Nothobranchius furzeri: one gene and its partners. The protein of the gene in region 3 interacts with the protein of the main gene of each other region in a biochemical or structural test. Links are inferred from orthologs where the notes say so. Each region holds a gene or a part of one and is shown on either strand. Other genes may lie near its edges.

What was found. The genes of interacting proteins can lie anywhere in the genome.
Region 1: the proteins of waca (region 3) and rnf20 form a complex in vitro, tested with the Homo sapiens proteins (2 studies listed by BioGRID). The link is inferred for Nothobranchius furzeri from reciprocal best matches to the Homo sapiens genes WAC and RNF20.
Region 2: the proteins of waca (region 3) and rnf40 form a complex in vitro, tested with the Homo sapiens proteins (2 studies listed by BioGRID). The link is inferred for Nothobranchius furzeri from reciprocal best matches to the Homo sapiens genes WAC and RNF40.
Region 4: the proteins of waca (region 3) and vcpip1 form a complex in vitro, tested with the Homo sapiens proteins (2 studies listed by BioGRID). The link is inferred for Nothobranchius furzeri from reciprocal best matches to the Homo sapiens genes WAC and VCPIP1.

Annotation. Positions count from the first base shown.
Region 1 is NC_091741.1:96,511,890-96,517,823, reverse strand, and holds the start of rnf20 (E3 ubiquitin-protein ligase BRE1A), read right to left. Parts: upstream 3,307-5,934; 5' UTR 3,190-3,306; intron 2,908-3,189; 5' UTR 2,904-2,907; coding exon 2,733-2,903; intron 2,660-2,732; coding exon 2,591-2,659; intron 2,504-2,590; coding exon 2,405-2,503; intron 2,327-2,404; coding exon 2,179-2,326; intron 2,100-2,178; coding exon 1,914-2,099; intron 1,805-1,913; coding exon 1,689-1,804; intron 1,439-1,688; coding exon 1,292-1,438; intron 1,214-1,291; coding exon 1,139-1,213; intron 1,042-1,138; coding exon 922-1,041; intron 702-921; coding exon 522-701; intron 403-521; coding exon 267-402; intron 194-266; coding exon 72-193; intron 1-71. Other genes in the region: aldob (fructose-bisphosphate aldolase B), read left to right, coding at 5,933-5,934. UniProt on the Homo sapiens protein: Component of the RNF20/40 E3 ubiquitin-protein ligase complex that mediates monoubiquitination of 'Lys-120' of histone H2B (H2BK120ub1).
Region 2 is NC_091756.1:31,912,413-31,918,212, forward strand, and holds the start of rnf40 (E3 ubiquitin-protein ligase BRE1B), read right to left. Parts: upstream 3,307-5,800; 5' UTR 3,218-3,306; intron 2,820-3,217; 5' UTR 2,809-2,819; coding exon 2,671-2,808; intron 2,558-2,670; coding exon 2,390-2,557; intron 592-2,389; coding exon 297-591; intron 46-296; coding exon 1-45. Other genes in the region: phkg2 (phosphorylase b kinase gamma catalytic chain, liver/testis isoform), read left to right, coding at 3,969-4,063, 4,155-4,330, 4,420-4,474, 4,568-4,633.
Region 3 is NC_091747.1:30,751,884-30,757,735, forward strand, and holds the end of waca (WW domain-containing adapter protein with coiled-coil), read right to left. Parts: intron 3,270-5,852; coding exon 3,068-3,269; intron 2,984-3,067; coding exon 2,856-2,983; intron 2,777-2,855; coding exon 2,707-2,776; 3' UTR 1,407-2,706; downstream 1-1,406.
Region 4 is NC_091751.1:35,191,429-35,197,381, reverse strand, and holds the start of vcpip1 (deubiquitinating protein VCPIP1), read right to left. Parts: upstream 3,307-5,953; 5' UTR 3,119-3,306; coding exon 472-3,118; intron 1-471. UniProt on the Homo sapiens protein: Deubiquitinating enzyme involved in DNA repair and reassembly of the Golgi apparatus and the endoplasmic reticulum following mitosis. Necessary for VCP-mediated reassembly of Golgi stacks after mitosis.

The DNA.
Region 1 (5,934 bases), on a different chromosome or scaffold from region 3:
TTTTTCAGCCCAAATACAAGCAGTAGCATATATTTATGATGATGACCCTTCCCTCGTTCACTGTGACGTACCTGGTTGAGCTCAGATTGAGCCTCTCGTAGTCTCAGCTTGTACTTCACCACCTCCCCCTTCAGCTGCTGGTTGTGTGTTTGCAGCGTGCTGATCAGGTGACGCATCTCTCTGTTGATGGGACCTAGGAGGGGGCGGGGGGGAGTTAGACAATATAGATCAAGGAAGGACTTTATTTGATCAGAAACGCCAGTTACCTGCTTGCTCATTGGCTGCGAGAGTCTGTTCAAACTCGATGCGCAGCATCTCGTACTCCTTCTTCACCTGAGCCAGTGTGTCCTCCAGCTGAAACACCTCGGTGCGTACTTTCCTCTGCAGAGCCACCTCATCGTTCTGCACTCAGGCGAGATGAAAATAAGCAAGAGACGAAAACACACAATCCCACACCGACCACACACACACACACACACACACACACACACACACACACACACACACACACACACACACACCTCCATGTGGTCCAGCTGCCGAAGCCGTGCCGTCCGGGTGGTGTTGAGGCGAGCGCGTGTCTCATCTAACTGAGCTTTGAGGATCAGGGACTCGTTGTAAAGCACAGAGAACTGGGACTGAAGGCAGCGATACTCTGAGGTCTCTTTAACGAAACCTTCAGCTCGACTCAGCAGCTCCGTCTGCAAGTTGAGAAAGTTAGACAAGAAAAAAAAAGTCATTTTTCTGTCCCTCCATTGAAAAAATTGACTAATTTTGCAATTTTTTTCTGTGGACGAGTAAATTGAGCCAGGAATATTTTGGGGCAGAAATGTTAATTTGCACTCATATACTGTAGCCTCTCTGAGTTTATGATAATATGGCTGAATATTTGGGATCGTGGAGCTGACGTAACACTGGTACCTTCATGTTGTTGTTCTCCTGTTGGACATTTTGCAGGTCCTGCTGCAGCTTCTGCAGCTCAACAGAGCGATTTTCTGCCAGCTCCGTGTTCTCCTCCAGCTCACTGTTCATGTCCTCAAACTAGTTTCAAAATAAAAGTTGAAACAAAACCATAAAACCTACAGAACACCCCTAAAATAATTCCTAATGACAAAAATAACAGCAAAAGAAAGTGTACCTTTCTCTTGTTAATAGTGATGGTTCCACACACACTGCTGGCCTCTCCACACACCTTATAGCCTTTACTGTTCACCTGGAGAACACGGGTGGTGTTACAGTCACTTCCACAGGCACATCGTGCTGCCATGACAGTTATTAGCATCGCTCTCACCCTCTCCAGGACCTCGCTCAGGTGTGCGTTCAGTCTGTTCTCTCGGCGACGGATCTTCTCCATGTCCCACTGGAGCTCCTCGATCCGAACCTGAAGCTCGCCGACGCGCTGATCCGCTTTGTTCGCTGCCCGACCCAGAGACCGCGACTGCAGAGAGGACCAGAGCTCACAGGATCTTAACGCTCTCTAAACAACTGCTTTGTATAAAAAATATAAATGACTAGATATTCGTTTTTAAATAAAGGAACAAGCAAAAACAATTTGATATTCATGTTAAAAGAGATCCTTAGAGTTTACTGACATTCTATTGTAATAACAGACTACATAAGTCCTGATTGGGGTTTATTTGACCGATTCTGGCTCGAGATAACTTTCTAAGAAAGGAACTATGATTTACCTCGCTGGTCATGTGACTGTGTTTCTGCTTCAGGTCTTCAGTCAGCTGTTGCAGCAGCTCGTTTTCACGTGTCAGGAGGGAATTCAGTTTGGAGGTGACCTGCTTCAAACTCCCATCTGCAAATCAATCCGTAAAAAGCACAAACTGGTTGACATTTTTCTCCAGGGCAACATTTATTTATAATCACAGCTTTCTAAATCTCACAGGTTATTTATTTTTCCTCACCATCTCCAGAGTCCAGCTCTGCCTTGAGCTGGTCCACGCTGCTCTTCAGATGTTTGTAGATCTCCACAACATGACTGGCCTGCTTCTGGCTCTTCTCCACTCTCTCCTGGAGCTCTGCCTCCATCTCCTCACTGGTGCTGCTCGCCAGTGTGGCCAGGAAGGAGTTGGAGGTCTCTCCTTGATGACCTGAGCGACATACAATTTTTATTAAGGTTCTGCTTTTTTAAAAATATCATTATGATGTTCAGATTTCAGGTCTCATTACCTCGGTCTTTGGCCCTCTCCTGGTTGGAGTCTCCATCAGGTTCTGGGGTTTCTGGCTTCAGGCTCCGACCCTCACCTGAGGGTGATTTCTCTGGTTCGCCGTTTGCTCCATCATAGCGCCTGACGGAGAGCCGAATATTGTCATCAAACTGGAAAAAAAATTAGCATAATGTCACACTTGGACTCTAAGGACAAATAATCCAGGATACTTTCTTCTACTTCTTCACCTGGTTCCAGTATCTGTTAAGGATGAGCAGACTGGCATCATCAGTGGCCTGCCGGGTCTCCAGTCTCTCAATTCGCTCTCGCAGCTCATCCTCAATCACCTTCAAACAAACCAAGAGTAAATGTCACAGTTCTGCTGGAGAATCCTGTGTTTGGGTGTTGATCTGAAATAAAGATTAGAAATTCACCTGTCTTTGATCTAGAGCTTCACCTAACTTGCGGTTCTTTGCTTGGAGAGCCTTGATGTCTTGTTCTTCCTGGAAGAACATTACTCGTGTGTCCATAAAACCAATACATGTTAGATTAGTAATCTGCAGTAGTGAGACTCACGGAGTTGGACACTCCTCCCAGTTTGATGACCGTTTCCACCGCTGTGCTACCACCGGCCGCGGCGCTGACACCGGGACCTCCGTCCTCTCCTTCGCGCTCCCTCCGCTTCTCAGGCGGGGCTCCGGAGAACGACGATCCGCAGGGGTCAGCGGGACGTTTCTGCCCCGACATCCTCCTAAAAAGATAAAATAGTATATTGTAGATCAGATTTAGGGGATTAATTTAAAGTATGTATTTCGACTGCAACGATCTAATATAGTAAGCGTTCTCAAATAAATGAACAAATATGACCAGTTTTAACATTTTAAAGACTGAAGTAGCGAAATCAGTAATTAAGCTAACGTTGGCCATCTGCTAAAGCTAGCCGAAAATCTGACCAGCTTTAATCCTGAACCAACAGACTAATGCGACCACATCGTTGTGGACCTGCGTCGACAACGCCTAGCTGAAATCTTACCAATTTTAAATGTAAGAGTTATTAACTAAATGTGTCAGTAAATGTTGATGTTGCGGCTTCTTGCCTAACGGAAACGGAAGTGGCAACGGTTTCCAGAGGACCCGCTTTAGCACGCGCTCTGACGCAAAAGCACCACCTGCTGTATCGGAGTGTGAAACACTCTGCAGCATTTTACGATTTAATGCTTATAAACTGATCAGAAAAGATGGTCAAGAATCATCAGATGATTTATTTGCATCTGAAACACAGATTTCAAGCATCAACACCCATTATAATGCTATAATGTGTATTTAACCCTGGCTGAGGACAACATACACACATCTAAAAAAGATATTTAAACTACACAATTTTTAATTCTGAAATAACCTTGCTATAGAATATTTTAAATTGTTTGTTTGCCTCATCATCAGCCATTTGAAGGCTGACCCTCAAATGGCAAACAAGCTATTGCACAGTAGATGACGCAGACTGTTTATTTTTGAAAGCAACTCAGAGAATATTTGTTAACTCATTATCTAATTTATCTAGCTTTGTTATTTGGTAATTTCAGAGTTTAACCAAAGTCCAGGACTCATCTGCATGATAAGGCCGCCACATACAAACCACATCACCTTGGAAGATTTGTTTTCTCCCACAATGTCTAAAATACTTCCGCTGCTATAGTCGCAACATATTTTATCTTCTCTAGAATTAAAAATAAATACTAAGGCCAAAGGATAGTTGTAATAAACTTGGAAGATTTCCATCCATAATCTCAGGAATGTTGTCTTATGGACCTTACTCCTCTTTTGTTTGCTGCCAGCTGCAGGGAAGATAGATGTACAGCTTGTAGGATTTTGCCTCATTGTACTGACTAAAATATCCAAACCAAAAATTGTCCCACGCAAGTTTTATAATAACCAACTCACTGACTTGTTGTAGCAAGCAGCCCTTTTCAGAGGACAACCATTGTGTGCTTGACTCACTTTCAAAAGGTGGTGCAAAAATAAAGGCACGCACAAAGACTGAACTCTGGTCTGCAATATTAAAAATGACATTGGACAAGGTGCAGAGTCCGGGTTGTGTAAATGCTGTCTTGTCGTTATTTGCAAGATACAAATCAAGCCCAACCCGTAGGGTCCAAGACCTAATATCTGCTGTCATATGCTGAGTACGTGGGGTGCAACAAAGCTCAGTTTTACTAAACTATGTTTATGCATGATGGGTTTAGTTTCACACACAATAAGAAAAAAAAATAGATTGGATGCAAGGAGAGGCAAAAAGCTCAGGAGCTTATATGAAGGTTTGATCTAAGAAACTTTAAAGTTGATTTGAAAATGCATTTAAAATATAAGCATTAAACAACATTAAAAACACAAAATACAATAATGCATAAACAACACACTCACCATATGAAAATAATAACTGTGTCAAGATTAGAAAAAAGTGATTTAGTTAAAAATAAACAAATTATTGTTGCCTTTAGTCTGTGTGCAAAAACACATTTTTAAAGCTATAATGATATAAAGTGTAAAACTATTCCTTTGTTTTAAACTGTAATTCTGGAAAATAATGCAGAAATTGCATATATAATATATATATATATATATATATATATATATATATATATATATATATATATATATATATATATATATATATATATATATAGGGTTTCTACCGGAGGAAAAGAAAAATTTGGTCACGTGTTTGTGTGATAATAAAAACAGAAGCTGCTGTAAACATCGACATATAAATAACTCATATCGAAAGTGGCATTTGCTTGTGAACATGCCCGGTCTTTCTTTAGGAGAACTAAACCTGAAGTGCAACATTTCTGCAGCCTGAGCGCTGCAGAAGCAGACAGAGCTGCTTTCAAAGCTGAACCGTTCCCTTCACTATGATTTCTAGTTTGATCATCAGATCCTGATATGAACAACAAATACGCACCGCCCCTCTTCTCGTGGCTGGGGCCAATGGCCTTCCCAGATCAACACCCGCCTCCCCCCGCCACATCACCGGCCCCTCCCCCACCACCTCCGCCGCCCCATTAAAACGGCCTTTCACCCACTTTCTGCCTTCTTCATCAGTCTGATCTCGTCTGGGAGGCAACAGCGTCTATCTGTCATTATTCTGCTGCCGCTGTTTGACAAACACCTCTAAAGTAAGTCTGCAGGACTTTGCTCATTCTCAGAAATTGATCTTGATTCTTTGCAGAAAATTGGATGCACTTTCAGCACTTTTCATCCTTGTGCGCGGTTTTCCATGTGGTTATTGACATTAGAATTATTAGATAATTAATTAACAAGGAACTGCTTAGAATTAACAGTTTACTAACTAAATTTGCAATCAACATGAGTGAGTTTTTACTTTGAAATGTTTCTACAATACAATACATTGATAAAAACACAAATTAATCATTAATAAATGGTTTATATTAAATATGTAATAGTTAATGATACTGCTGATAGTCTTGGTTTGTGCAGTTGCATCTAACTGTAACTCATGGCCAACTCTAAATTCTTGCACTGCAGCAGTTTTAACACTTTCCTCTGCAAACAGCTTCAGGTGAACTGACTCGTTGTGCACTGAGAACTTATCTGTGTAGAATGCCAAAGGTCAGCCGTTCAGTCCAAATATTTAACTGCTGAAGTGATGCAAGAGAAGCCGGATCTGTTAGGCGTTTTGTTTTCTGGAGAAAAGGTCAAACCTTCCTCAGGCCAGCTAGAAAAACCTTCCAACTGTTCTTGTTGTTGCCTTTAGGAT
Region 2 (5,800 bases), on a different chromosome or scaffold from region 3:
AGCCCTTAGCATTCTCACTTAAGGGAGGGGGAGGCGGTGATGTGTCTGGACATAATATTAAGTTGTTATGAACAAAGCAAATCAAGCTAGAACTCCACATTACGACCTAAATCACTGCCCTGGTGCAGCTCATTACAAAAATGTCACTTTTTTTGATGAATGCAGATTCACAAGATATTAGGTGCGAACAAAGCCGTGAACACTATCATTTACATTTTATTCACAAAGAATGTCACAATGCAGGAGCAAATTTCAACAAAAAATCGTTTTAGAAAACAAAATAAAAAGCTGCTGACCAGTTTTTGAATCCTGTGGCGGTTCCACAGTAGTTAGTAACTCCTCTGATCTAGCAGGAGGATGTGGCACCTCCTGATGGTCTTCCAGTTGATTCTCTTGTTGCTGCGGTTCTGTGAGCTCAGTCTCACCCTGGGCCTCCGGCAGAGGAGGTGGAGGCACTGTAACCAACGGTGATGCCAGGCTGATGGTATCCGTGGGTGTAGCATCGGGGAGGGCTGAAGGTGGCGCAGGAGCAGATGCTGCTGTTGATTCTGGCTCAATATATTTGCGCAGAATATTTACATTTTCTTCCAGCTGTAAGTAAAAACAGAACAAACAAAGTTTGAATATTTTGAATGGTTACTGTTTTAGAAGCATAACACACATCAATTTCAATTAAATTAAATTCTAAAATACTTTATTAATGCCAGAGGGAAATTGATTGCTGTAGTAGCTCAGAATAATAATAATAATCAAGTCATCAAAGAGTTATTGTATATTACAATGGCTGTTGGCAGGAAGGATCTCCAGTAGCGGTCAGTGTTGCAGCGAAACTGAAGAAGCCTCTGACTGAAGACACTCTTCCGTTGTCGGACAGTCTTGTGAAGAGAATGCTCAGGGTTGTCCATAATTTTCTTGATTCTCTGGAGAATCCTTCTTTGCATTATCTCCTCCAGCGGTTCCACAGTCGTCCCCAGAACAGAACCAGCCTTTTTTATTAGGCTGTTGAGCCTTTTCAGGTCCCTGCTTCTGATGCTACTACCCCAACAGACGATGGATGAAGAGATTACACTCTCAACAACAGACTAGTAGAAGATCTGCAGCATCTTGCTACAGACATTGAAGGACCTAAGCGTCCTCAAGAAGTACAGTCTGCTGTGTCCCTTCTTGTAAACGGCTTCACTGTTCTTTCTTCAGTCCAGTCTGTTGTCCAGGTGAACTCCAAGGTATTTGTATTCCTCAACCACCTCCACATCTACTGCCAAGAGTTCAACATCTGGGCTGCAGAGACGACATTTCACCGAAACATGACCTGGATGGCACCATCCGTTGTTGACAAGCACTGCCACTCCACCTCCTTTTCTTTTCCCGCTCCTGCTCAGATCTCTGTCTGCCCGTACAGTCAGGAATCCTGGCAGAGAGACGCTGGAATCGGGGATATGGTCCTGCAGCCACGTCTCACTGAAACACATAACACTACACTGCCAAAACTCTGGCTGAGTCCTTCAAAGGGCTTGGAGTTCATCCATTTTGTTGGCCAGTGATCTCACATTGCCCATTATGATAAATGGAAGAGATGGTTTGAATTTCCTCTTTCTCTGTCTCCGTTTTGCTCCCGCTCTGCATCCATACTTCTTGCGTTATAGCTCATTTGGGATTTGTGGCTTCAGTTGAGGTATTATTTCAGCCTTTCCAATGTTAATCAGCTGCTACCGATTGTAAACCAGTGTGTTGCCATGGTTACGCATCATAACAAATGTTCAAAAAGTGAAAAAAGTGAAAAATAGCAGTAAAAATCCTCCAAGCTTCACAGCACCAGAAACAGAAAAGTAAAATGTCCAAAAAATACAGTTTTTCTTGAGAAACTAGAAGAAAAAATGTCCACGAAAAGGCAAAACTTACAAATAGTCAACAGAGCTACTCCAACATGCAGCCACCCAGAGCAGCGCAGTTCCAGAGTTCACAACACTTAACATTATATAATAATACATAACAGGTCTCAAACAAGTGTATAATGTAACACAGCTTAAACACAGTATATTAAACATGCATTACTATTATTTTCAACTCCAACATCAACTTTGGGAACCACAGCTTTAAAATACACAAATAATGTGATTCTTCTACAAAGTGCAACAGAGCAATCTAGTAGATTAATAAAGTGATTAATGTCTTTATACTTCATCATTTTCTAAACTCACAATGCACAATATCCTGCCATGATCAGGTATGAGGACTGGACAGATAAGGAGTGGAAAAAAACAGTAAAAGTCTAAAGAAAATTTTAGAAAAGCTGCACACAAAAGAAAACCTGGCTGATTGGATAGAAAGCATAAAGAAGTAAGGGATTATTTAAAGCTTTTTTCCCAGCCATATCCAACGATTAATGTACCTGAGTCCAGTAGCGATTGACGATGAGGAGGGTGGTGTCATCAGTGGCTTGTCTCTTCTCCAGCTTTTCGATTTTCTCTCGTAACTCATCTTCCATGGCCTGTCTCTGCTCCAGGCGCTCACATAGCTTCTTGTTCTTGAACTGGAGCACCTTCATGTCCATTTCTTCCTGTAGTTCATCAACAAAAACACCCAAAATATAAGACACTTTACGTGTTAAAGTACACCACAGTAATAAACACACTTCAAAATATTTTAACTAGTAAATCTGCAGGGACTCACCGTTGAAGAGACTCCAGCGATTCGTATTGGTTCGATCAGTGTGGTGGTGGTCTTCTCCTCCTTCTTGGTCTTCTTCTCAGGTGGACCAGGGGGACTATCCCCTCCAGAAGGACGTTTTCCTCCCCCAGCACCTGACATCTTTCCTTAGCCTTCATAAAAAGTTCAAACAACGTTAATTTTTGGAGGCAGCATGAAGAGATTACGGAATTAAACAAATTATAAATACAGTTAGAACCCGTGTGAACGTTACTTTCGCAGGGCAGGTACAACATTTACAGCTACGTATTAGTAGAAGTCAGGAGTGTATAATGCCTCCTTGTAATTATTAGCCATCTTTTAAAAGAAATACAGCACATTACATTTTCTTGTTAAAATTAACTATTTTGCTAATGCTAACTCTCGGTTAGCAGGACAGCGATCTTTGTCCAACACAGCAAATAACGGTGGAGTATTGTTTTATTTACTAACTATCATTAAATGAAGAATCATTTCTACGTAAAATCATTTACAGAAATGCAACAAATGACAAAAGTTGAACGTTACGCACCTTCGCAAGGAACGACCGAAAATATAATTCAGAACATAATGCAACAGGAAATGACGACAACGCTTCTTCTTCTACGCTTAATTTGCAGAGCTTCTTTTGCCACCTAGTGTTGAAATGTAACTTTGTGAGGTTTTGAACAAATTCACCGATTTAAAAAAAAAGAATAACATTTAAAAATTACATTAAAATTATTGCTACGCATGGTTTCAAAAATATCTCACGGTTGAGTGATTCATTGCGTCAATGTCTAAAAACTAAGAAATATCTTGATCCCGCAATCTCCTCTGCCACCACACAGGGGCAGTATTGCTACTTCAGATATGAACCGGTTTCAAACGACTTCAAAGGAATTTTACCAAACTGTAAATAACGCTCCGGTTTATGCTAGCAGATATCCGGCGTGACTTCACGATAAACAGCTCGAGTTATTTAATGGCTTCGCTACACTAACTCGGGATCCGTCTCCTTCCCCTTCTCGCTGTTAGGTGAGTAGCTTCCTGTTCGGCCAGTCAGTGAGCCCTCTGCTACACAAGGCCAGACCAAAGACGAGTTCACCTTACTGATATAAAGGATAAAAGCTAATTTCTTGTGTGTTTAAACTCTGAGGTGTTGTCAAAAAGTCACAGGTATAGTCTGTGTTTGGAATCAAACCAAACGAAATGGGAACCCCTTATCAGGAGTTAGCTCAAGTAGTTCATGGTAAACAAGCTGTACTTTGACATGTGACGGAGTTTGTTGCTATAGCTTCATCATGACCAAGGACATCGTTGTCGGAGATGAATTACCGGACTGGGTGGGAGCTAAGGAATTCTACCAGAAGTATGACCCCAAGGAGGTGATCGGCAGGTAAGTCCAGTCAGGCAGCATGACACTCCATCCTCCATGCCTGGTTGGTGATAAGAACATGATGTTCTTTTGAACTGGTGTGGTGCTGTAGGGGTGTGAGCAGTGTGGTACGCAGGTGCGTGCACAGACACACAGGTCAAGAGCTGGCAGTGAAGATTATTGAGATCACAGCGGAGAAGATGACAGCCCAGCAGCTGCAGGAGGTGAAGACCTCCACCCTGAAGGAGATCCAAGTCCTCAACATGGTGAAGGGACACCCCTCCATCAGTATGTTGCCATTCTGCGCTCCAGGAATATTTGTCTTTTTCTGTATACCAAGACCTAATGCTGGTTTGTGTTTGTCTGATTCCATGTAGTCACCCTCATTGATTCCTACGAGTCCACCACATTCATATTCCTAGTGTTTGACCTGTGAGTATGGAGAAAAGGAGCCAAAATACAATAATGTTTACTTAAGGAAAACACGAAACAATGAAGCACCAACGGGTCTGTTTTTGTCCCCAGCATGAGGCGAGGAGAGCTGTTTGACTACCTCACTGAAAAAGTTACCTTGAGTGAAAAGGAGACCAGGTGAGCTCTAAAATCGACACACTCTCCATCAGTTTCCAATAAACGTTAAAACGCGTTTTGAAATCTGAAGCACAAATCATTTAAATACACACACTCACTGGCAGCTCTATTTGGTGCCTTTCTAGTAAATAAGAAGTAAGCAATTTTTATTCATACAGCACTTATCACAGACATAGAATCACAAAGTGCTTCTAGTGCTGGGTTGACCCTCCTTTGTCCTTCTGAACCACCCTTACTGGTTACAACCATACCAATCTGGGCTGTAATCAGTGGTTATTTGAGCCACTGTTGCCTGGAACCAGTCTGCCTGTTCATCAATTCATCTACCACTCACTAGATACTTTCTTTTTCTGGGACCATTTTCTGTTATTGTGCACGAAAATCACAGTAGAGCATCAGAATCTGATGGCACAAACTACAAATCCTCTTCCTCTGTCCTGATCCTCTGTTTGAACTTCAACTTGCCGTCACCACATCTAGACGACTGCTTCAATGTGATTGGCTGATTAGATACTGAACATGTGGGCATAATAAAGTGGCCAAATCGGAATCGGCTGTGGAAAATCGGATTTAACCATATAAAACGACAAACGTGACTTTTCAAACGAATCCTAAGAAAGAGATTTTCAAACTGAATAACAATGGCTTTGTTTTAAATTCAAAAAGTTCATCTATATCAGTGTTTTTTTTTCAGAGACAACAGCGCTGTAAAGCCCTACAATTTGAAGTAGCTTGGGAATTCACACACCATAACATGTAGCACAGAGCATAGTTGTCGCCTCAAGAGAGAGAAAATGTCTGTGATTTGGCTGGATTTTTAAACGAACAGCAAGGGGAGTGTAATAGACACATGCAATGTGTGCAAACTGGGCATTTAACGAGGTGACAAAGGTAGTGCTGCACCACCTTAAAAAACTGATCCTGCTCTGTTCGCTGCAACAATTCGGATAAGCCAGCTGATACGAATAAAAGATGTGTAGAAAAAAGAAATGGTCTACGGACAGCAACAATGCCAACATGGCAGAATATTTTTTACACTGGATGAGCGTCTGTGGTTGTGAACGTCAGGTTCGAAAGGCTCCTTCAGTCGCGGTACGATCTGCGTTCTCTCACAGACGCAGCAGCTCTACAGGTGTTTTGTAGAAAAACGTTACTCTGCTGCTGACC
Region 3 (5,852 bases):
CAGAGGAGCTGAAGACGACTATCAGAGCAACCTGGGCTCTCATAACACCTGAGCAGTGCCACAGACTGATCGAGTCCATGCCACGCCGCATTACTGCAGTTATTGAGGCAAAAGGAGCCCCGAATAAGTATTGAGTGCTATACATGCACATTCTTTTCAGTTGGCCAACATTAGAGAAACAAACATTTTTTCATTGGCCTTTAGAATATTCTAATTTTCTGAGATACCAGATTTGATGTTTTCATTGGTTGTCACCTATAAATATCAAAATTAAACGTAATAAACATCGGACATACATTGGTCTGTGTGCATTGCATGAATATAATGTACAAGTTTCACGTTTTGAATGGAATTACTGAAATATTTTCAACCTTTTGATGATATTCTAATTTACTGGCCAGCACCTGTAGAGTGTAACAGTGTTGCCGCCATATTGGATGGGTCTCCTTACTCCCAAAGTCAACGCAGAGTGGGTATTGGTTACTATCCTGTTTTGGTGCAACCTACAGTTGCAACAACCAGCATAGTATTAAACACAGATCATGTGGGATTACTTTCGACTTTTCCAGTCCACCTGTTGGGGTTTTATAATTTGTTTAATTATATTTTCATTATCATGCCACACACGTCTGATTTTATGAAAAATCTTGAGTGGTACAGGTTCCACATCAGTAGGTTTTGCTCACACACACCTCTCAGGAATCCTTTAGGGCAGCAGCAGCTCAGGAAGTAGAGCGGATTGTCCAGTAATCAGAAAGTTATATAATCGATCCCGGCTCCTGGCACAAACTCTACCCCATCTTGCCTGCTTGTGCTCGTCCTTGGCAGCTGCAGCTCATCCCAATCAGCGTGTGAATGGATGAATGATACACTGTAGAGCAGTTTCCCAACCCTGGTCTTCAGGGCACCGTGCATGTTGCCCTTTCAAACACGTTATCCTGCTGCACACACCCGACTTGAATGAATGATTAACAGGCATCTGCAGCACTTGATGTTCTCCTGAGGAGCCGATGTAAATCAGGTGTGCTGAAGCAGAGACATGGAATACATGCAGGTCAGTGTGCCCTAAAGACCAGGGCTGGTAAACACTGGTGTGGTGTTTAACGCTTTAAGGTCCTCGGACTCTGGATGGCGCTATACAAGTCATTTATCTTTTGAAGTTCAAGACTCGTGGACTTTTCTCCCTAGCTGTTAGAAATCTTCTTTGATTTTCTGTTGTGATCAGACCAAAATGATTCAGCTCAGACACCGTTTTTAGTTTGGAGCAGATTAAAGGTCTTTAAACTTTTAACTTGGAAGGATTTCTTTCATCAACCAATGAAATTGGTAAGGTGAAAGACTAGGGTTGTACCTGACTGCATTTTGGGCCCTCCTAATGAAACTTCACACAGGAACCATCGCAAACATGAACTTGGACAGGAATATTTTATTACATTTGTCAATAAACTTCAGGAAACAATATACAAAGCAATGATGTGGTAAGCTTGCCTGAATGTGTGGTGCCGTTTAGGTCAAGAGTAGTTATGGGGCAGGAGCTGAACGGTCCCTGCTGGTGAGGGGCATTACTGGGGGGTCAGGTGTATGTGAGGCTCATCAGTTGGAATTAAAGAAGACCCAGAACCTGCAGGTGAGGCTTTAGTCTTCCAACAAGGCACTAGCATAAGGACCAATAAAATAACCAGTGCTCGCTCCAGTTTAATATGTTTATTACAATACATACATTTCACATTTGAGCTATGACCTCCTGTCGCCCCACGCGGACTAAGAAGTGCTCCACATACCACTCCTTAGCCGGGCGCTGGTAAATGTGAGGATATCATTGTGAATTACTGTGCATCACTACAACTCTTATAAATAAAACCCTTTTATTCTTTGTTTTAGAACTCAACTGTTATGTTAGCAACTGTACAAAGGAATGATCCACCTTAGATTGAGAAGTCAGGAAGAAGCAGAGGGAACACAAACTGAGAGAAGAGAGGCGGGACGCATCGGGAGATGCGTGGCAGGCAGGGCAGAGCCAGGAGAGGTGAGTGGGAATGGTCCAAAGCAGCACGCCATCACATTCCTGTTTTTATCATGCCTCACTCCACCAACCACCAGGCAGACCGCTCTCCTGACCGGGTGATGCAGGGCCACCAGAAGCTGCGAGCAGATCCCTGAACCACTGTGGACCGTCTGGTGTTTGCCACGTCCGAACGAACATCTACCAGCACTGAGGTCGGCGTGTGTGTTCTGCATACATCAGGACCTTCCTCTGTGTACAGGCATGTCACTCACTGACCCACAGGTTCAACCATCCAGGAGCTAACAAATGAGTTAACATGAAGGACGGGCTAGCTCACGGCTAGCTGCCTAGTAGCTGATTAGTCTGGACGTCAAAAGCTTTGATAGGCATGGCTTTCCATGGCTCCCATCTACAAAATATATTTACAACATTGATAACATCTACAAGAAATCTACAATTGTCTCACTGTGAGGTAATTACAAAACTAAGTCTTGTAAATTGCCCCTCCCCCGCTTCCTCCCACAACAATACCTGTTCTGGTCTGCTGGCTCAAAGATTCAAGCCATCCCAACTTAAACTCCTAGATGTGTGTGTGTGTGTTGAGAATGGGTTCCAGAAGAACGGAACTGCTCTCTCCATCTTCCAACCTATGTGCAACGGGCCTCCCTTCCAAAAACCCCTCCAACTGGACACTTCGGTTCTCAGACCATGAAGGAATTCTGATTCTTCAATTTTTCAAGATCTTTGATTTGCTGTCTTAGAAACAATATCCTGTGGGACAGAGACAGACCCAGAGTTAGATCCAGAACGTTGCCACAGTCAGAACGGAGGTCAGAAGAACACCGCTCACCTCTGCTCACGCAGCGTAGCTTGGATTTCACAGACTCTGACCAAAGAGCGCAGGTTTTTGAGCTCAGTGCAGTTCTCAGACATGCAGATGCTGCCCATAGTGTGAGCCTCCTCCCGTAGTCTGGAGGCCTTTGAGATTTGACACAAACAAGTTTTACCTGTGTTCCAGTTCCTGAGAAAAACAACAGCTGCTACGCTGCAGGTGGTTCTGACCTGTTTCTCTGCGTGCTCTGCAGGCCACCCCTGAACATGTTTGATAAGGTTCTCACTGAAGTGGACAGCAAGAGTGGGGGTTAAGGAGCAGGAGGGTTGAGCTACTGAGGTGGTCGAGGGGGCAGAGACGGAGTTTGAGGTGCTGCTGCTGCTGCTGATGGAGACGACATGGTTGGGACCTGGGGAGGGACTCCTCTGACAGCTGCATTTGACACACAAGACAATAGTTAGGAGACAGCACGAGCCCCGACGCTCCACGTGCAAAAAAACACGTGTTCTATCAGTGGGTATGAATCAGCAAACTAGTATCAGATAGCAGAACCCACAAGAACTGTGTGTGTGTGTGTGTGTGTGTCACAAGACCATGAGGACACACACGGCAGAGTCTCCAAAAACAACACAGCTCAAGCCCACCTTTGTTTACCTTATAATGGAGGACACAGCGGATTAAACTCCGCCCACAGGCTCAGGGATTTCCGCATTCCTGAGAAGTCCCTCAGATTTATGTGACACTACACCGCCCGTTCCAGACCGACCGCACGCCATCCAGCCCCACCAAACCCCGACCATACCGACTCTAATGTGTAGGCGCCATTGGAGGTCCGACTGGGACCGAAGCGATGATACGGACTGACTGGCCAGCTGAAGTTCACCAACCGAATCAGCCAGCGGAGGTTCCTGTATGCGTGATTCGTTTAAACATCAGTAAACCTCTGTAGCTCCCGCTCAGTGGGAAAGGACAACAGAGTTGTGTGTGTGTGTGTCCTCTGAGCAGCAAACATCTCTGCACTGGAGCTGTCACCACAGCTGGGAGGAGAGCTGCGAGCATGTGTGTGTGTGTGTGTGTGTGTGTGTGTGTGTGTGAGTAAGTGGAGTTTGAGGACACGCATGGCAGTGAGAGAACAGGGAGGACATTAATAAAATGAGATGGTTCAGAGTCTCCAAAAGCTCAGCCAGCTTTTGTCTACTAGGCTGGAACAAACGATTATGTGGATCATCGATGAATCGGATGGGGTCTCGACTCGATTAATCGGATTAAACGGGAAAATTTTAATCAAATTAAACTTTATTTATAAAGCGCTTTTCATACAAAAAATGTAACTCAAAGCCCCAGGTCCAGGTCGGTTCGCCGGACTTTTTGACAATTAAAACAATATTCTCAGTATCATGTCATTTGACACGGACCGCAGGCAAAATAATATGATCAGAACATTATGAATATTATTTTTAATATTCCACAAAACAGGAACAAATTAAATACAAACAACATTTTATCATTTTAAAGTTTTGCTCCTGCTCTAGAAGCTCTTTGAAGATTATTTTTAAATCCCACTCCTGCATTTTTTAATAATCAATTAATCTAGCATTTAGTAAGGCTGAATGTCTCCCAACACATCCAGAAACGTGCAGCTGTGTTCAGCTAAAACTCTCAGGATGATCATGTCCAGGATGACTGAGAACTACACCTCCATGCTGCAGCAGCATTCAGTCACAACAGGAAGTGAAACTTAAATGTAGCTGCTGTCAGTAACAATCTAACAGATTTTAAACATTAAAACTCAACAGAAACAGTTCAGAAAGGAAATAAAATATGTTATTTATTATTATTATTATTATAATTATTTATTGTGGCAGAAACTGGTGTGGTCCACCACTGCTCTGGCATGATGACTTTAATTATTCTACAGGTTATTGTTCAGCCTTCTGACGCTCACACACACACACACACACACACACACACACACACACACACACACACACACACACACACACACACACACACACACACACACACACACACACACACACACACACACACACACGTGTTGGTGAGCGGCTGCGCCTGACTGCTGACGCTCCGTGTGTTTTTATTTCTGCAGTGAGACAAACTCACCTCACACCGTCCAGAATTTGTTCTTTAAAGCTTCTATTAAATCCACCGTGTTGACGTATTTAACACGTTTCCTCTACGCCGCAGGAGCTAGTTTACATCACGGCGTAAAAGTCTGGCAGACGTGGTTATTAATAACCATGTAATTAGTAATCTAACAGTAATAATCATGTAATCTAATAATCTAGCATTTAGTAAAAATCATGTAATCTAATAATCTAGCATTTAGTAATAACCATTTAATCTAGTAATCTAGCAATCAAGCTTTTAGTAATAACCATGTAATCAAGTAATCTAGCATTTAGCAATAACCATGTAATTCAGTAACCTAGCATTTAGTAATCATGTAATCTAGCATTTAGTAAAAATCATGTAATCTAATAATCTAGCATTTAGTAATAACCATTTAATCTAGTAATCTAGCTTTTAGTAATAACCATGTAATCAAGTAATCTAACAGTAATAATCATGTAATCTAATAATCTAGCATTTAGTAAAAATCATGTAATCTAATAATCTAGCATTTAGTAATAACCATTTAATCTAGTAATCTAGCAATCTAGCTTTTAGTAATAACCATGTAATCAAGTAATCTAGCATTTAGAAATAATCATGTAATCAAGTAATTTAGCAATAACCATGTAATCCAGTAACCTAGCATTTAGTAATCATGTAATCTAGCATTTTGTAATAACCATGTAATCTAGTAATCTAAAATAATCTCCTGACTCACCACTCATTACTGAAATATTTGATTCCAACCTTCCCTCCATCTGCAGACCAAATAATTGATAATAAAGTATTATTAATTATTTTTAACAAATAGGTTTTAGACATTGTATTTATGCTAGTAAACCAAAAACCTGGTGATATCTTTATTTTCAATTGTGGCTA
Region 4 (5,953 bases), on a different chromosome or scaffold from region 3:
TTCCACAGTTTTCTACCTAAATGGGAAAAACTGAACTAATTCCTGAAGTTCTTTTTGTTGTAATAAAAATAAACTGCAGCAAATCCCGAAACTTAATCTGAACTGGAGTTAAAGAGCCGGGTTAGTTTGTGGCCCCAGATGAACTGGAATTATGGGAGCTGAGCTAAGTTCCTGTTCTTACTGGACATGTGGTGCGGCCCTCGTCTACACGTTCATGTCTCACGGAGACACCGTGTGCACAGAAGCAACACGGAGCTGAAACTAAACCAGAGTTTTGCTGAAGAGGATTTAAATGTTTCATAAATCGGAAACGTTAAACAAGCGCAGAAGTTCAGCCCTTGTGGGAGAACTTTATGAAAAAGCATCAAAAACAAAGTTCTGCATTTTAACTCCACAGCGGAGATCTGCCGTCCCAGACTGGGTCCAGTAACGATGAGACGCTCGGTTCCTGTCAGACCACATGCCACCTACCCATCAAGGTTGCTAGGAGACAGAGGGAGGACATCTCCAGGTCTATGCTCTCCTGGAGTTCCCGGCTGCTCATCCTGCTGGACATCATGGCGTCGTCGCTCTTGGCCGAGTGGAGGGACGAGTGTGAGCTGGAGGCTCTGGTGATGGAGGCCGCGGGGCTCGTGTCCTCAGAGCCCCTCAGGATCTCCACTGTCACCCTGTCCCCATGCTGCAGCACAACCGGCTCGTTCTCCTCGCCGTCCTTCGGAGGACCCAGCTCTTTGGGCGGGAAGCCATAACGAATGCACTGCTGGGCCGGAAGAACGCCAAACTGGTTGGAGATGCTGCTCTGCAGGTCTGAGAAGGTGGTGTGAGCAGGCAGAGTCAGCATGGCCTGCCTGCCATCGCTGGTGGTCACACGGATCTTCTTCTCCTTGTTAGAAGAGGGGGAGGAGGACTTGGTAGGGGTGGCTGGAGCTGAGAAGGAGGATGTTTCTGGAGACCCCCCAGGGGAAGAGTCCCGGATCTGACCCTTTTGCTCCTGCTTGAGTTTCTCTGTGCGTCTTTTCTGGGAGACCAGGGCCTGCTCGCTGATGCTCTGCTGGATGCTGCGCTCCGCCCGGCTCATCGTCAGCTCCTCCTTGTGCAGCGTCTTTGCTTTCTGACCGGTCAGGATGATCTTGGTGGGGGGCTGCGGGTCTGCGGTGGGCTGGGTCTCCAACGGGTCGTTGAGCCGCTGGGCATGAGCCCCGTCGATAGAAACCGGGTTGTACTCGTCTGGGTTCTTCTTGGCGGTGTGATGCAGGATGGTGTTGACCACTTTCTGAACCAGGATCTCACTACCGAACTCTCCGGGGAAGTGCTTGGTGACCAGCTTCATAGCTACGTCGTACACGTTGCTGTTCAGCGTCGGGTCGGTCTCGTACTGGAACCAGTACACCGTCTCACGCACCACCCGCCCCCCCCACTCTAGTGTGATGGGGAAGGCTTCGGGGAGGTTGTCGTACTCCTTCCCCTCCCAGTAGTGCTTGAATCCACAGCCACACTTCCCCCCCTGGGACCGGGTGTTAGTTCTGTCCCCATCCAGGTAAACCACTGACCCATTCCCACGGATGTGGCGCACGGATGTCCCGTGACACCAGTTGCAAGTGTTGAGGGCGCTCAGTTTGTAGTCCGGGACGAGGATGTCTCTCTGGGTGTCATAGGAGCAGACCACGTTGTTTAGGGGGAAGCTGTAGTTCTTGTCTGGTCGGAGTTGGCCGTGTGTGGACTTGGCTAAGTTGTAGAGCTTTCCACCTGGGACAAGCCACTCGGAGGGGACATGGAGCTCTGAGAGGGCGCCGCAGATCAGGCAGCGGTGCAGCCTGTTCTCCATCACGGACTTCTTGGCTGCTTCGGTCACCTCCTCCGGCTGGACGCCGATCACCCCCGTCCGTCTGTAGACGTACTGGTGCACGTCGGCCACCAGCGAGGGGTGGATGCCGTGCCTATCCATGAACACCTCCTCCATGGCGTTCACTAGCCTCATCAGGTATTTATCCTGCAAGCTGCGGTCGCCTGCGATCACACAGCTGCCGTCTGATTCCAATTTGATGTACTTCCTGATGAGCTCCTGGGGAACACCCCAGGCCTTCGGCAGCAGGCGGGCTGGCAGCTTGGGCAGCACCGTGTTCTTGATTCCCACCAGAGGGACGTAGTGGTTCCTGCCTGAGCTGCTCCAGGCGATGCAGATGGGCTTATTGAGCTTCCCGTCTTTTCCCTTGCACTGCTCCTCCGGCACCAGTCCGGGCAGGAAGGTGGCAGAATAGTCCCCGGAGCTTCTCATTCCGCTCAGGGAGTCCAGGAGGATTATGGGTCGGTGGAGGACATTAGCTAAACCAAAAATGTGGATGTTGCGTAGTCCAAGAGGCACGCCCTCAGGCGGGATGAAAAGAGGGTCACACTCATTGATGATGTCCTCCCACTCTGCAGCATCGATAAAGTCCTGAAACAGGGCTTTGTATCGGACCAGGTTCTGTTTGAAGTTCTGCTTAAGGTTCTCTCGCAAGGCGTGCCAGAAAAGTTCTCTTCCTACGAGCGCTCTGGACACAGCGTGGACCAGGCAGTGCCCGTCTCCATCCACATGGACTGGAATAAGACACTCTCTGTTTCCGTTGGCTTTCTTGATCTCCTCCAGAGTGTCGTGGAGGTAGATGAGGCTCCCAGACCTGTCCTGCCCATATCCCATGGTGGAAACATGGTCCGGCTCGATCAGGAAGGCTCTGTCCCCCAGCAGAGAGCAGTCAAAAATGTCCCCCTGGTTCATGTCCCTCAGCAGCTTGGCTTTTCCGGTTTGTTTGTCCATGCCGTAACGGGTGAGCACCGGGGACAGCAGCTTGCAGTGGTAGTTAGAGAGCCCCATCACCTTCACCAGCTCCGTCCCTTTCTTCGGGGCTCCGGTGACGCCGAGCAGGGCGTTTCTGAGGAGGTTGTGGAGCACCACATCTGGATCCGTTACCTCCTCGACATTCAGCAGGTTCCTCTGCTCGTGGCGCTGACCGCACTCGGTGCACTCGATGCTAATGGAGCCGTAAGCGGGGAAGAAGAGCCTCGCCTGACATTTCGGGTCTGGGCAGGTACCAGACAAAATACGCTTGTCTTTTTTCTTTGAGCTCTGCAGCAGCGACATTTCGGGCGAGAGAGGCTGAAAACGTATTTTAGCTTCACAATAGCATGATAATTACCCCTCAGGGACGCTGTCGGGTGAAGGGTGGCAGCGATTTCAGCTATTATCGTCCAGAATAACACAAGAACAACACGGAAGCGGCCGTTTTCCTTTAGCATCTGATTGTTGCTCAACGTACGTGCGCTTGCTGTTGGATGATGGGAAATGTAGTTTATTTTTGCATGTAATTGTCCCAGTTTTCCCACCGCTTACATAATAACTGAAAACTATTATTTTTATTATCTCTCTTGTAGTTTGGTCGTGGTAATTTTTATCCATGAAACAATTACTTTTGGTGTCTTATTTCATTTGGTAGATTTGTGAATCAGCTATCTACATTTCCCAGAATGCACCGCGCTGGACTAACGTTTTGTTGTGTAAGGAAGTCAGTTCCGAACTCCTCTGTATGTTTAGTCTAAATAAAAGGAATACATTTGATTTTTATTTCTGTTTCAATCCCGTAAATGAACTTAAGCACATTTACATCAGCCAGAGTTGATATGAGTGGCGGCAGGTGGAGCAGGGCCAGTCTGCTTTTGGTTTCTAACTTACATCACAAGTTTCCCAATTAGCTTAGCTGTTAGCTTCTTGTATGTAGCTCTCGCTGAACTCCATTCAGAATTACGGGAATTCTGTAATTAAACCTTTTTAATTTAAGTTAAGTATCACAACATAGTAGAATAGACCTTTCATTGACCTTTAAGATAAAAATGTATTATTCGTATTGTATTTGACTAATGATGAAATCCAGTTTATTAGAGCGAATGAATGAATGAAGTTTCCAGGGTTTGAAGATTAATTATCTCTGTTCAAAAGGATCTTGTATTACACAAAACTGACCACCAGGTGGCAGACTAAAACCTTGTTTCAGAAAAGAAATTCTTTAACCCTGTTACAGGAAACATTTATAATAGAAAAGCATCATGAGAGATTGCGTGTGTGTTTTATATAAATAAATTGAGGTAGGCTAATTATTAAAAGTTGTGATATTCATTCAGAAAAAGACGAAAAGAAACTCCAAATATTCAGTTTAAAATTAAAACAAAACAAATGCTAAATTAAAACATGTATAACTGTTGCAGAACTTTGCGAGCATTTTTTTTTTCATTCTTTTCTTATTTTCTAAAATTATTTTTCGTGTTATATTTTTATTTTTTTATCTAACCCTGTCAGAAATATGCAGAATCGTTGTTGACCAGAGCTTTTATTGCGGGAACCTTTTGAAATATCAGAAGTTAAAATATAAAGAGAAAACTCACTTTCAGGTTTGTGGTTTTTTTTTTTTTACTTGAAGTTTTTTCCACACAGTCATGATTTATGGGTCATTGGAAAAGAAGAGTTAGAGTTTGGAGTAATTTAAAACAATAACAGGAAATAACAAGAATGAGCTACGTCACACAAAAGCTAATCAGGAATAGCTGCTGTTCGCTTATCAGTCGACAGATGCTCCTGTTTGCACCAGCAGCAGCAGGGGCTGATGGGAGCTGAGGAGCTGGTAAAACCACGTGGCCCTGGTCTGATCTTGTTTGGCCTCAGCTGCATCAGAGCACCACTTCTCCCCAGGTTCACCAGAGGAAACACCACTGAACACAATGCTTTTCTTCCCAACTGCTGCTCTGTGCTGTATATGTTCAGGTGAGTGTTTCCAGCCAATCAGGAGCCAGCACACCCCAACTGGAACAAACCTTCACCTGTCTGTCTGTGTCCCTACGGTGCTGGTTACCATGGCAACAGAGGTGCTAACTCAGGACCAGTAATCTTATACTGCCAGAGATGATCATATAGTTTCTCTAAAGTGTTCAGGAACAGAAGCGTGTGACAACAAGCAAGTTCACTGGTACCAGCACACGGAGCAGCATCCTCTTCGGGTCATCCTATGCATCGATCTCATTAACAAAACCATGAACAGATGCTACAACCATCCCCAGAAGGATCATTTTATGGCAAATACAGAAGACTACGGCTGTAATGCGATCACCATAAAAGTCCAACAGGAACATGCAGCCTCCTACTACTGCAGCTGTCAGAAATCTGGTCTCCACAGAGAGAGATGATCTCTGCAGGCTGAACAAAAACCTCCAGATGAACAGAAGTCAGACAGGAAGAGAGCAGCAGACCTCAGCAGCTGACCATGTTTAACCTCCATCACACACATGTAGCAATTTCATCAAAATGACCAGACGTTAACTTTTAACTTACAGGCCAAACTCCTTCATACAGGACAGTCTGACACCGCAACCCCGATATGAAGAAATGAACTTGAGCCAATATTCTTAACTTATCCCGCGTACGTCACAAGTCCTCAAGGCTGCAAGAGACGCAGGACCTCTCATCTACCCTCTTACAACAACACTCATCTTCCTTGACTCATAAATGACTTTAAAACTTTATGTATTCATATTTTGTAGAATGAACCATTTGTTTAAATCAAAAGTGTTTTAATAATGTGTCCTATACTTTACATTCACGAATGATGGGTTGGCATGAACATTTTCTTTAATGATTCATTTCAGATATCAAATTAGACAGCATCAGTAATTGATGATTTTAAGAATAAAATCTATCCGTATATTAACACCTCATTATATTATCATTAATGGTGAAAACATCAGTGCTCCACATAACTGTTATAATATTTTCACTGCACACTGAGAAATGACCTCTCTGAGCATCTGAGGGAAGGTGGGATCTTCTGAGGTATTCTGGTAACGCCTTTAAAACTTGTCAAATTCTGATTTGTCTAAATTTGTCAACAACAGTTAATAAAAACAGAGATCACTTCCTGATCTAGTCAGGTTT